Drosophila melanogaster: one gene and its partner. Changing the gene in region 1 together with any one later gene gives a genetic interaction. Each region holds a gene or a part of one and is shown on either strand. Other genes may lie near its edges. The genes, in order: Osi21 and rdgC.

The links.
Region 2: of Osi21 (region 1) and rdgC, changing one suppresses a phenotype caused by changing the other (phenotypic suppression), as found in Drosophila melanogaster (one study listed by BioGRID).

What each region holds. Positions count from the first base shown.
Region 1 is NT_033779.5:11,283,827-11,290,015, reverse strand, and holds Osi21 (osiris 21), read left to right. Parts: upstream 1-4,309; 5' UTR 4,310-4,412; coding exon 4,413-5,125; intron 5,126-5,294; coding exon 5,295-5,430; 3' UTR 5,431-5,689; downstream 5,690-6,189. Other genes in the region: mre11 (meiotic recombination 11), read right to left, coding at 5,741-5,830, 5,898-6,189.
Region 2 is NT_037436.4:20,245,212-20,252,686, reverse strand, and holds the start of rdgC (retinal degeneration C), read right to left. Parts: upstream 4,608-7,475; 5' UTR 4,362-4,607; intron 4,060-4,361; exon of another isoform or gene 3,627-4,059; intron 1-3,626. UniProt on the Drosophila melanogaster protein: Phosphatase required to prevent light-induced retinal degeneration.

The DNA of each region.
Region 1 (6,189 bases):
CGCTTTCCCTGCGCGCTGAATGGTATGGGATTCCCCCGGTTTGGTTCGTTTTGGTTCGGTTTGTGTGCGATATAAACGAAGTTTACCAAATAAATAAGAGCCCTCCGCCTCATCTCGTCTAGCGATTGGGTTGCAATATATCGCGTACGTGCTGGCATGCCATAAATATGTGGCCCATGTAGATGCGATGCGATGCGAGGCAACAAAATTATATTTCTGTTTGTGTTTGCAACAATTTATTTTTCTCTCCGCCACCTCCACCCACTGCCACGCCCACCTCGCAGATAAAGCGAAAACATTTTTCCAGCTCAACTCGCTGCGCAATCGATAACGATGAGGGAGACAAAGGAGCCATCGACACCGAATCGTTTCAAGGATGGGGATTTCCCGAGCTTATTAGATAGATACATCGTAACATAGAGTAGCAAGTGTTCCGAAGGTAAACTTCAAAATATGTAGTGCAAGCAAATTTGGCCAAGACCGCAGCATGTGGCATAGTTCGAGGGAGGAGCAGGGATCCGTAGTCAGCCCATATATCCTTTCATATTTGAGTTTTGTGCAGGGCAAAGGTACAACGCCCTTTTATATTCATGGGGGCCAAGGAAATAGAGATTTTCACAAATCTGTCTCTTCACTCAAATATGTACAAAAGGTTTGTAAGTAAATTTTAAAGTATGAACACAGTTTGTAACAACGCATTTCTTGTCTTAATGAAATAATTTTAAAATATAAAAAGAGAAGAATAAGCACACTTTTATATATTATTTATATTTATATTTCCTATTTAAGGGGAGGGAAAAAATTATTAGTATTTATGCTTCAATTCAGTTTAAAACGCTAGTTTTGCCAACGATTTCTATGGATTGAAGTATATTGAAGTATTGAAATATTTTTGAAGTGCGCTTACATCGCAATTCCACTGTTAAATTTGCGACCAGCACTCAAGAACAGCAGCAAGAAAAACAAAGAAACTTTTGGAGGAAAATGGCAGCAGAAAAATCGGAGCACAAGCAACAAGCCAACAAATTTAAAATGTGAAAACTTTGAAAGTAGTTGAAAGTTGGCAGCAGGCGAACGAACCGCAGTCGCCAGAGAAAGGCGATGTGCAGTTGGAAAATGGGGGAAATTCTTTGTCTAAGCAGGGGCACTGCGGAATGCGGAGGGGTGCAGGTGCAAACAGGGCTGAGAGATACGGGCGCACGACTACGAATACGGATGCGAATACGGATACGGGACTCGATGATTTGATGTAGCTGAAAATTTGCCGCTGAGATTTTCTTTGTGGTTTCGACTTCTTTTGATATGAGAGCATTTTCCAACGTGCTGCACACTCAAGAGCAGCTAACCCCCAATCCCGCCGCCTGTCATTTGCCAATTCAACGGAAAACTTCAAAGAAGCGGCAGTGCATCCTCCTGTCCGGGGAAAATAATCCCCAAAGTCCGTCGCCATTTTGGAATGGGTAGCAATCGCTATCCACACGCCCACAAAGGAGTCGCAACCACAAAACGCAAGTGCACAGGAAGTGGGTGTTATGAAATATGACGAGATATGAACTCATATTCCACCCTCGACGAGCTCTTCTGATTTTGCGCAGTTGCGTTTTGGAAAGAGAACAAAAATAGCATAAAATTGGTCCACCATTGACCATAAAAAGATGGTTTTCATCTTAAATTACAATATAATATTAATATAATTAGTGGCTAATTACAGCGAAAGCAACATTACTAATATTATTGCTTAATATCCATTCTTTTATCATAGAAAAAATGTACAGCTTCCTTTTTTCTGATTCTTAATATAGTAAGATTTATTACTTACAGTATGATTTTTACATTATGAAGCAGTATGATATTATTACAGTCTTATTAACTTTTGAACTTGCCACAATGATACAAGCCAACCACAAGGCACTTGGCCAAAATGCCAATCAAACTGGCGCTGAGCAAATATTATCACAACATGGCCGCAGAACAATGTGGAGGCCATCAATCAATCGGCACTCGTCAGCCAAACCAATCATCCATTTATCCATCCATATCCATCCGGATCCTGGCCATCCAATCACACAATCACCCAATCGCTCAGGCGTATCGCAAGAACAACAACAATTTTCCAATTAAGCGGCCAAAAATTTGAGCATATGATGATTATTGACGATAAGAGCTCCCAACCGCCCCAGGAATCCCAAATGGTCTGCCGAAATGTGCAAATAAATCGCACAATTGTCCGTCCATCCGTGGTGGAGTCGTCCTTTTCGGGAGGATTCCGAGCTATCTACTACGGGCATCGAAACTAAAAGTTAGCTGCGGCCATGCCAAAACCAAAACAAAGAAACTTTCGTTTCCAATTTTCTTGATGTATTAAATTATTTACGCCCTCTTGAGCAGAGGATTCGTGTGCGTGGCACTCATATGTGCATCTGAAGATATGTACATATACATACATATATATATATGAACATGTGTTTATATAGGTGACTTCTATATGTTACATTGCCAGTCAATAGTTTTGTTAATAACAGTTGCCCAAGAAGATAATAACACATACACTTTAATTATCCCACCAGTGTAACAGTTTTTTCAATTCGGACTTAAGAAATCTAGAAGTTAATCCTCTACGTACTGTTAGATACATAAGTTAAGACTTACTTTAATTAAATACCTACGTTAATAACACGATTCTGAAAGTAAGAATATTCAAACCCAGAAAATGTTTACCATTAAGAATGAAATGTACCAATAATTGTAGTATCTAATTCCAAATCTCAAAAAATTCTTAGGAAAAAAAACTTCTATCATTATGTTTATCACTGATTTCCATAGTCATACCTAAATGTTTTATCAGAATAACTTTGTAAAACTTTAAGACTGGCACATTTGTAAAGCCAATTTATTTAATTAGAGAAATTATCGTTATCCGGGTGGAAAAGATAACCGGCGAAAGTGTCTCAGTCACTTTTCACTGCGATTAACTGTCACCAGTTAGCCAGATGCGCTGTGATCTTCCCTAGGCTGGAAAATACCCATTAGAGGATGGAAGCTGTTGATTTTCACAGTTGGTGCGCAGAAAAGAAAATTTCTTGACTGCAGCCAACTCAATTTCACCCAGTGGGCCAGTGAGCCAAATGTGCAGCGATCACCGCACGGCATCGACGGGGATTCCCCTGCTCCGTCCAAGAGCAGCAGTTGCAATTTATGATAACCAATTTGCGGACTACAAACACAACCATTGCCGCACGAGCGATACCATGTGCCGGCAAAGATTCCAGCGGAGATCCCAGTCCAAGATCCCAATCCAAGGGGCAGTAGCCGAAGTAGCGGCTAAATCACTCCGCTGCACGCATCGTTAAATATTATAAGTTATTACAAAGATATAGTGTCTGTGGATCGGTTGTTGCCTCCGGCGAACAGCTGGCATCTTCTACTGATTTTTTTTGATCCTACTAACCATATTTACTCTTGGCACTAATTCTACTCTCTTTTCTAAGAACTGATTAATGTGTATTTTGTATTCAAAATATCTGGGCAGTTCCGGTGTTCTACTGCTCCAGTAATCGCTACAGTGGTGATTTGAATTAAAGAACTAGCTGAGTGCTAGTGTACTGGTTTAATTCCCATTTCTTGTTCGCTTACATACAATCTATAAATATTGTTTAAGATTTCAGTGTTTTATAAATGACGCATATTCAAAATTTAAGCACAGTTTTCCTTTAATTAAAATATTCTGCATTTCAAAAAGAGTTCCCTTAGTGTTAAGATATATAATATTCTTTAAAATTGAAATTAATATTTCATAGAATTCGAATCTATTCGCTATCTAGTTCCAAAACTAGCAAATTACCATTATATAATATATAGTTTAAGTAGCTTGAGATGCAAACAATAATCTTAAATATTATCTTAAATTAAGTGAAGTCCACTTCCCTTGTTGTATTTCTATGATATGCATTGACAATCGTACTCATTCATTCAAACAGGCGTATAGAAATCGAAAAGTGCTACTTTGTGGCGGATAGATCCGCAGCTCCACGGCTCCATCGCGGGACCTGAACAAGATGCAAGAGGCATCCATCCGTGGTTGGGTAACGAAAACATGTCAGCGCCCACAGACGACCACGATAAGGAGAGTCGGTCGAACGCATAACAAAATATGGCCAGTGCTAATTGCCCTCCCAGTAGCTGCTCCACCAGGTCCAACCGAGATCCGTCTGCATCCCATCGAACACGCCAGTTCTTTCCGTCTGAGTGCGCCGCAATCTTCGATCGCAATTTATAAAAGCTCTGCCCGCCCAGCGATTTCGCTGCAGTAGCATCTTCAGATTGTCGGCAAGTGGACGTGGATATTAGCCAACGAAGATCAGCTCTCAAGGTCAGGACTCTGGATAACCGCATTTGTCAGCAAGGACTTCACAATGAAGCGTCTCGAGTGGCTGCTGCTTCTGGCGTTGGTAGCCTCCGTCTCAACGGCAGTGACTCCAAGGAGAAGGCGACACAGCGCGGTGGAATCCGCAACTACCTCCAGTCCCGGTGATTGGGGAACAGCCTGGGGCTTGGGTCCCGAGATGGCACTCGTGAGGAGGGTGTACGACGATTGCCAAGACAAAAACGATTTCATTGGCTGCCTGAAACAGAAAGCCCTTCATGCTCTTAGTCGAGCCCTGGACCAGGACTCAATCAAGATAGTGGACGGTCTGGCGCTGGAGAAGCAAAACCAGAGCGAAACGGAGAGCATATTGGGCTCCCTGACGGATGCCCGTCAATTTGGCAACCTGTCACCCATCGATCGAGCCCTTCTCTCCAAGGCGGACAAGCTGATGCGGACGCACACGCTCAAAATCGACATGGACGTAGGCGGCGGTGAGGATAGTGTGGGTCGCGAGCATGGCCACAAGAAAAAGAAACACAAGGAGGGGGGTCACATCAAGTACGTGGTGGCCGCCCTCCTCACCGCCATGGGCATCGCTGGTCCATTGGGTCTGAAGGCTCTGGCCGCGATCGCCGGCAAGGCTCTGGTCATCAGCAAGGTGGCCCTGACCATTGCCGGGATCATTGCGCTCAAGAAGCTCTTCTCGCACGACCACAGCGAGGAGACCAGCTTCCAGGTGCACGCCGGTGAACATAACAGGTAAGCCTTAAGCTGTAGTCTTCGTAAACAGGTCCAGTAATTAAATCAAAAAGGATTTAAATATGGGATAGTATTTCCGTCAAATATTGCATATTTTCCTTTGCAAAACATTACATTTCCATAAAGAATTGGTTTAACATTCACTTTACCTTTATGTGCTCCCCTGCAGACGCAACACCTACGTGATCCGGCCGGTGTCCAAGACGAGTGCTGCGGCAGGCGCCGGTGGCGTGGGCGTGACCGCCGCCGGTGGCAGCTCCTCGGTGGATCCGTATCGCTACTACTATGAATACCATCAGCAGTAACGCGTGTGCGCGCAGTGGCGATAGCGGTGTCTGGAGAAATCTCCGCCGTTTTTCGGCGCCGGAGTCTTGATGCAGCTAGACTACCAAAGAAACTATCCAAACATCCAGTCGGACCAATTGGAGTCCGACAGCAGCCGTTCACCTTAATGTAGCTCCTAAGTTGTAGGCTAAAATACATATTATGCAGTTGCGCGAACCCTGAGAATGAAGCCCAAAAAATAAACGATATCGAAATGTACTCCTAGAGATTGTAAAAAGGAAAACTGCTGTTTATTAAACTTCGTGGTAAACAAGGTCTCCGGAATTCAAATCAATCGGAATCATCCGATATAACATAGCTGGCAGTATTACGAGAGCCCATAAGGCTACTAAGGAGCGTTTGTTGCCTGCCGGAAGTTCGCTATTTTGGATACAAAAAGAAGATAATATAAAATGTTCAGATTTATCTAAAGGCTAACATCTCATACCGTACTACTGACTGTCACATCTAGCTGGCCCTTTCCACGTGTGGCAGCTGTGGCACCTGCACGAGTTCGTGCAGTTCCACGACCCCTAGCAGCTCCTCGTCCCGTCGCGGGGGCAGTGGAGACGTTCACTTCGCTACCCAACACAGACATGGACTTTTCTTCTTTCTTCACCTTCAAGCCCTGTGTGTCAAGCATTTTCAGTAGATCCCCATGCTTGTGAAGCGCCCTAAATCTTTCAAGCTCCTCATCGATGTTCTCGTCGTTGGGCATTGCTTCCATCAAGTGATCAACT
Region 2 (7,475 bases), on another chromosome or scaffold:
GGAGTCCGGCAGCAATTAAGTTAGTATTTACTGAAGATAATGTTTCAAGTCGGTGAGAGCCGGTGGCTGCATAAATGTACGGGCAAACAGCCATTTGTTTAATATCTAAAATTTGGGGGGAGGGGGGTGTTGAAACCCAGCACATTGGAGACGAAAGATAAACCATTTCGATTGGCCTTTGTTTTCCCAAAGGGAAATTTAATTTAACGTATTTCAACTGAGTACTTTATTATTTTAAGTACTCATTCAGAGAAAAACCGCTTTATAACGATCTTGGTTTGAGTATGTCGCTTTCAGAATCTAGCCAAAATCGAAACATGCTCAAATACTTAGATCGAGATTAAACCATTCTCATATTGCAAATGAGAGCAATCATATATCATATATCATATATCATATATCATATATCATATATCAATATCAGCATTGAGATCGTTTTCGTCTCGAAATTGAGAAAGTTTCATTTCACGAGAATGAGTAAGCTCGGTTTTTTGTCGTTCCCAATTTTTCTGGATGAGTTTATGCATCTATTCAATTATCAATAAAGTTGAACAATAAATATGTCAATATTCATATGCTCGTTTATTGTTTCGTGATTGCATAGCACTTAATATTTATTCTTTCTATTAAAAACACTTCCCTTGAAATCATCGTTGTCAGTTTCGACATTTTAAATTGGTAGCCAGCAAATGATGCCCAAAACTGCATTCTGTTTCATGAGATAAAAGCATTAAAAACAGTTTGCATTAGTGCCAATTTCGCAGAGTGTGTTGCTAATTTGATTTCATTCTTTTCGTTGCAAATTGTTGAGCTAATTACGGGCACTCACAAGGTCAGTCGTGAAGTTGATTCACTCAAATTCTTCGACAGGTAATTTAGTTTGCCTACGCTACTAATTAAGTTGCCCCAGTCAATTTGTAAGAGGGCACGTGGTACTAGTTGTATATATATGGTAATAGGTAGGGATCCGAAGGACCTGCAAGGACCTATTGCCGCTTCACGCGCTGCCCATAAAGGTGTTCCGTTCAATTTTGCACTTTTACTACCCGAAATCTCCTTTGGGGTAGCCATTAACAGGGCGGCAGTTTTAACGACTTTGGAATGATGTCAGCTCGGATGCCGATGCTCGTCATCGTTAAGGACCGATTTGTTCTTTTATTTATAAACCAAATTGGGAATTAACGCAGATTGAGCGTTGGGCGCCGACACCTACAGCCATATGGACTAGAATTTCTAGCCAGCTGTAAGAAACATGATTTATTCACACCAAATACACTCGAAAAAGAATATACCATATATGCAAAAGATGAGTTGGCACTTTAAGAAAGAGTATATTTGAAATATGCTTGAGCTCGATTGCATCGCTTATGAGGCAATCCGTTGATTGAGGTTCTGAAATAAAGCTTTTATATTCCTTTCTTCACGATGACTATGAAATTTAAGAGAAGGATTCGATGAAAAGGATATATTTCAAGAGCTGTAAAACGAGTCTAAAAGTGGGAAACGTTTATGGTTTCCGTGCGAGTAGGTGCAAATGTGTTTGAGGAGGAATGGCGAGGAGAGAGCTTTTCTCCCAGTGTAGCGCAAAAGATGTGAGCCAACACTGCGGCTTAATTGCCATGGAAAAGTATCCGAATACCGACCTTATGCCATCGTTTTGGTTAACAAATCAGGCGTGAAAATGACGGCACCTCGGCTCCTCGGGGGATGGAAGCTAAACTGCTTAATTTAATCGATTTTCGTTAAGAGTTTTAAATTTCTTATCTTGTTTGGGTAAACGCATTTAGCGACGGTTACTCATCGTGCGGGATTGGTTTAAGTTCCATCCGCTATTCTTCTAATACCCTTCTGCTTTTTGGTTTGATGCAACTAATTGGATTGTTATTACTTCAATCCCAAGCCTAAAACTTCAAAACTTTAAATTAAATACACCTTAATATATATATCTTGGTACAGCTTTAAAAATTTGCCATTTCATTTGAAAATACAATACAGGCGTGGTAAGAGTGTGCGTATCTAAAGTAATAAATAATAAACATAAGAAATTATGGCAGTAAATAACTTTTTTATACTTTTAAAGCTTAAATTTCAGGAAGATGTATCTCCCAAAACTTGTAATTATTTTCCAATTTATCCGTACTTATGTATGTTATTACCAAAAGCATCTTGGTTATCAGCCTTAAGTTAATTGCTTTTCGGTTTTAGTCCGATTTCCGTCGACTGGCAACAAAACTTTCGAACACCCGACTTAATTCGAGCCAACATTGTGGACTGTGGGCAGACTTTTCTTGCCGCAACTTTCTACCCAATTTAAATGACTCTAAATTGGCATTTCGTGCTAAGAAAACACCAGAAACAAGAACTCCGAGGAGCTGCTCTTTACGAGTTTTTCGGTGACCGTGGAAAACTGGGGATACGGAAACGGAAAAGCCATAACAAAAAAAATTTAATCGGAAGTGGTGAGAATTTTTGGGGCTGCTGGCGTGCGACTACCAAAAAAGAAACCGCCGGGAATTCGTGCGAAAAAATAAAAAGCAACTCAACCGAACTGTGGGAAAAATAAACGAAATCACGAATAAAAGCAACTAAATCCCAAGGAAACAAAGAGCGAAGGGAAAAAAGGCTCGAAATCAAATGCCAGACGTCATCGAGATTTGTTGCCTGTGAGGCACATAAAACTCATTCCCATTCAGTCACTTTTACAACCTCCAGGAGTTGGGCGGTTGCTAATCCTCCAGCCGTACGCCACCCGCCATCCGCCAATTGGCCCAAATCCGAGTGGGCAGGTGGCCCCAAATTATGAATGTGGTACAAGGAAGCGGGCACACGGTAAGGGACCTAATAAATTCCAACTCGGATTCAATCCCCCATTCAATTCATACATACAAACGTGTCCGTGCATTTGTTTTTATGAACACTTCCATGTTTCGGTGTTATTCTTGTATCATAACAAATTGCGTTCAAGTTAAGTTGGGTTTACGGGTATGGAATGTCAGAATTTCTTCTTTTAATTGCTATACAAATTGGCCGTAGAAATCTACATACTATTGATTGGGCCAATAAGGTAAACCAATGATTCTAGAAATATTCTTGAAATAGAGAATGTGCCTTGAATGTAACGAAAAATTCAATAATAATAGTTCAAACAAACATCAAGAAATTGTCTAAGCTTGAATAGAAATTCGATAAATATATTAAAAGCTTTATGTTGTTTGCTTAAATAAATTTGTACAAATGATAGTTTCACTAAAGTCACTTAAAGTATTTCTCTGAAATTTCATCACCTTTGAGTAGCCCAATGCTTTTAATTTACATTTTTCCCCTAGTCTGCTCTGCTTAGTCTTTTGTTATTGCTTTTCCTTGTTTGTTTTAAAAACACTGCACTTGTGTGTCCTCAATTTCGAAAAAAGTTTTCACACCGCCAAATGGGTAAGAAATATACATACTTGTATCTTAGCAGAATACTTGTCGTATACGTAATAAACATACGAACAGGCAAATGGATAAGTGGACTAGACAAATATTGCGCTTACTCGTGTGAAACACAAAATATCATGAGTAATTCATATGGCAAACACCTCTGGATTGTAATGGAATCGTTTATATATTATTAATTTGCTCCTTGCCTCATTTCTTTGTCTGCTAGCTGTCATCGCCTTCGATTTCATTCCGTGTTATTTTTTCCATTCAACCAGACCTTCTCTTTGGCAACATAAGTTAAAAAACCACGAAATATATCTTGGGCCGAAAAAGTGACACCATTTTTTTCTAAAAACATTTTCAGTTTGTAGCAGTTTTTATTTTGTAAATTGTTCTAATGGATCATTTAAAAAAATTGACTGGAATATATGGAATATGCTAAAATATCTTAAAATAAGAAGTAGAAACACGAACTCTCCCTTCAGCTTATTTTGCATTATTTGAATTCATAGAATACAGCTTTTCTTTTCGGTGTACATTTGATAGCAGTACTATTTATACATGTGTGTATAGAACGTATGGAAATGCATGTTCTTTCGCATATATGTACATTTGTATGTGAGTATATTTTCGAGTGTTTCCCATCCGCCGCGCCGGTCGATTTTACTTTTTTTTTGCTGATCCGATTTAATGCGTGGAATTTGTTAGTAATTTAGCAAAACGACGCACTAAACGGAAGAGCGCGAATAAAAAAAGCCATTCGGTTGGAAAGTTCTGTCGGCACTAAGGATGCGACCATTCCGTGCCAGCGGCACAAGTGGCCATAACATGAAGGCGTGAGCGTAAACAAACACAGAAAATTGGTCGGTCCAAAAGAGAGATAAACAGCGATGACAATAAGATATGTACATGCATGCATATACAAATGTACATATACATACATATGTCATCTAGAAGGCGGCAAAAGGCATTAAATGAAGCCACACACAAAAATTCTCGCGGTGACAGATATAACCAGAAGAACACAAAAGACGGGAGAGGAGGGATGGCAAAGGCATATGCTGCTTTTGGTTCGGAAATAGCGCGTTCTGTGCGGAGAGCATTACGTATACGTACTGGTGTACGGGTACGGATCGTCGGGAGCGCGACGTTTTGTTATTCGAGCGTCCGTGGCGCGTGGAATACCGTTACAAACTGAACGCAGGCCACAAGCTCGGAAATCCTTTTTGGCCTCCGCTGCTGCCTCCGTCGCTGCCAAAGGCTCTGCTGCTGCCACGGCCGGCGTCGCCGCCGACCTCTCACTCGCTCCCACTCTCGCCATATTCGCCGCCATCGCCATGCTGCCCGAAAGCAAAACAAAGAGCGATGGCCGCATCAGCTGATTGCCCCGTTTCATTGCCATTCCCGTTCATTTTGCAGCGGAGGCTGCGCACGGCTCTCTCGCTCTCTTCTATCCATTTCATCTACACTGGAAATAGCACGGGTATATCTATTCCTTAAATTGTTAACGAATTTCGCAATTGTTTCATCTGCGTAATTAGTATTAAAGGAAAAGGCAACATAAATATGAAACCAAATGTAAATGGTTAGTATTTGAATAACAGCCATTTGTGAAATCAATCAATATTTTTCTTTCTGTGCAACCCAGAGAGCGAGCAGAGCAGCGATGCTAATCCAAAGATGCCAAGTTTGATAACGTCCTCGTGTTTGCATTTTGAATTTATGATATGCATCTTCCAGTTAAAACTTCAACCAGACGTGCGGCTGATGCTGGTTGTTTGGGAAAGAAGAAGTAATACTAAATAGGGGAATCAACAAAAAGCCATTAAGACAGATTTTTTTTAGATTAAAGGGGTTTCTTCTTCAAGATACGTATGTACATCTTTAATTGTTGAACAAACGAAAAAGTATTTCATCATTCGATATTATTCCTTTTTTTAAGTTTTAAAATTTATGATAAAAATAGTAATATGAAAATGATAGACTTAAATACGCTTAAAAAACTACTTCATATATGTACAAGATTCATGGGATATAATATCTTGGAATCAATTGCAGATGTAATATTATAATTATCTATTTAATGAATTTTGCAATATTCAGCCGAGCATTTCTGGCACCTGTTTGCAAAAAGAAAAGAAGAGGATCGATGGTTATAACCAACAAGTGCGCCGTGTGACTTGATATTCTGTTGATATGTTCCACTATCGTTACACAAAACCCAGAGCTCTGTTATGGTTCCGTTCTTGTAGTTATATTGATTATTTGCTCGGTTCCATGGCCTTTGGGGTGTCGTATACTCGTATGTGTTTTAATAGTCCAAGTGCCGCCAAGCCTTCCGTTGGCCATTCTGTGTGATTTTGGGGCTCCGGCCTCGAGGGGATTTTGTAGCTGAAACTCACGAAAGCCCCAAAATGAGTGCTGTCCCCTTGCTCCTTCACGGTGGTTTCACGATTTTGGGGTTTTCGTTGGTCGTAGCTTTAACTTTAATGGCAATTAGGGCCCAGAGCGGCTAACCTGCTATTAGTGATTACGGAATGCTCGGTCCCACTTCAAATTCAGTTAGCAGATGTGCGTGCGGCACAAGTTTCCGTTGCAATTGGTAAACTTTGTCTGCATTCTATGCATACAAATACAAACAAGAAGCCGGGCCAGATGAAGATACACAGCCTTTCAGATACTAATCCCCTGATTCTACATGCCTAAGATACACGATTAGATGGTCGTCCGTGTTGTTCCTTAGACTTCCACTTCTTCAGAACTCTTTAAGCCGGAAAGATTTTAGCTAGTGGAATTGTTGAGTTAGTTTAGGTGTAGGAAAGAATAATGTAAGTCAAATAGACGAAAACTCTAATTCTTCGTTTTCCACCTCAACAATAAAACACTTTACTTTACCAGCCAGCTTGACCCATCTTCTCTGCATAACCGGTTCTTACCTTGTGGCCCGATATTGAAATCCGCCGGACACGTTTCAATGCAGCCTGCAGACAATAGTGCATGGAGGCTAGTAAGGGTCACTCGGCGATTTCCGATAGGTCGAGTATCCTCGCTGTTCTTCTTATTGGCATCCTCGTCCTGTTTCGCGCACTGTTTTGCATATTCCAGTGCTAATGGCCGGTTGGCCGGTTGGCCGCACGCCACTCTCACCTGAATGGCCTGGTTGGCTGGTTGGTCAGGTGGGAGCTCCTTCGTGCTGGCATGCCATTGAAAAACATCCCATAAACATTTTGCTCAGCCCGGTATTTAAAATGGCTGCATGCGAATTTTTAGCCAACACAACATCAAAGTTCAAAAGTGGCTAACTTAATTAATTTAATGTGTGGGCCAGCAATAGAATTTTCAAGGTCCTTTAATTACGGAGCTATAAAGTGGCACAGAGTAGTTTCCATTACACATATACCCTGTTTTTAATTTTCGATCAGTATAATTATTAATTTAACTTTTTAGGAATGAATTATGGGATTTAATTCCAAGATTCAATATGAAAATACCATGTACTTTTACCTGAGTAGAGCACTTCCATGGCGCTTTTGGTCTCCGGTGGACACCTGTGCATGCTAAGAGTCTCACCTGACAGTCTTCTGTTTGCCAAGTCAATTAGTGCAAGTGAACACTCTTCCCAAATGGGTACTAATTAAAAAACATTTTAAGTATCTTTGCGTGCGGATAAAATGAAGCGTCTAATCGTTTATGCTCTGCAAAAAAGGAGCAATACTCAACGAAAAACTATTGTTTTTTATTCCCTATTAGGTTAGAATATGTACGTTTTGGGATCTAGATAAGTTCTGCTTTTGATTTTGACTATACTTTTACGAACATATTTGAACAAACGTCAAAGGAAGTGGTCAGATTCAATGATTTACTGGATTTTGATTTTAATATCGATTACAGGGAACTCATTTTCCGAAGCATTTTTCTGACTCACAGATAGAAAAGAACATCGTTTTACGTTTTGCTTTTTAGTTAAACTGTATTTTTTTATTTATATTAGTACTGCCAAACTAAGTATAACTTAATTAGCATGCTATTAAATTTATTTATCATTTGTCTACATA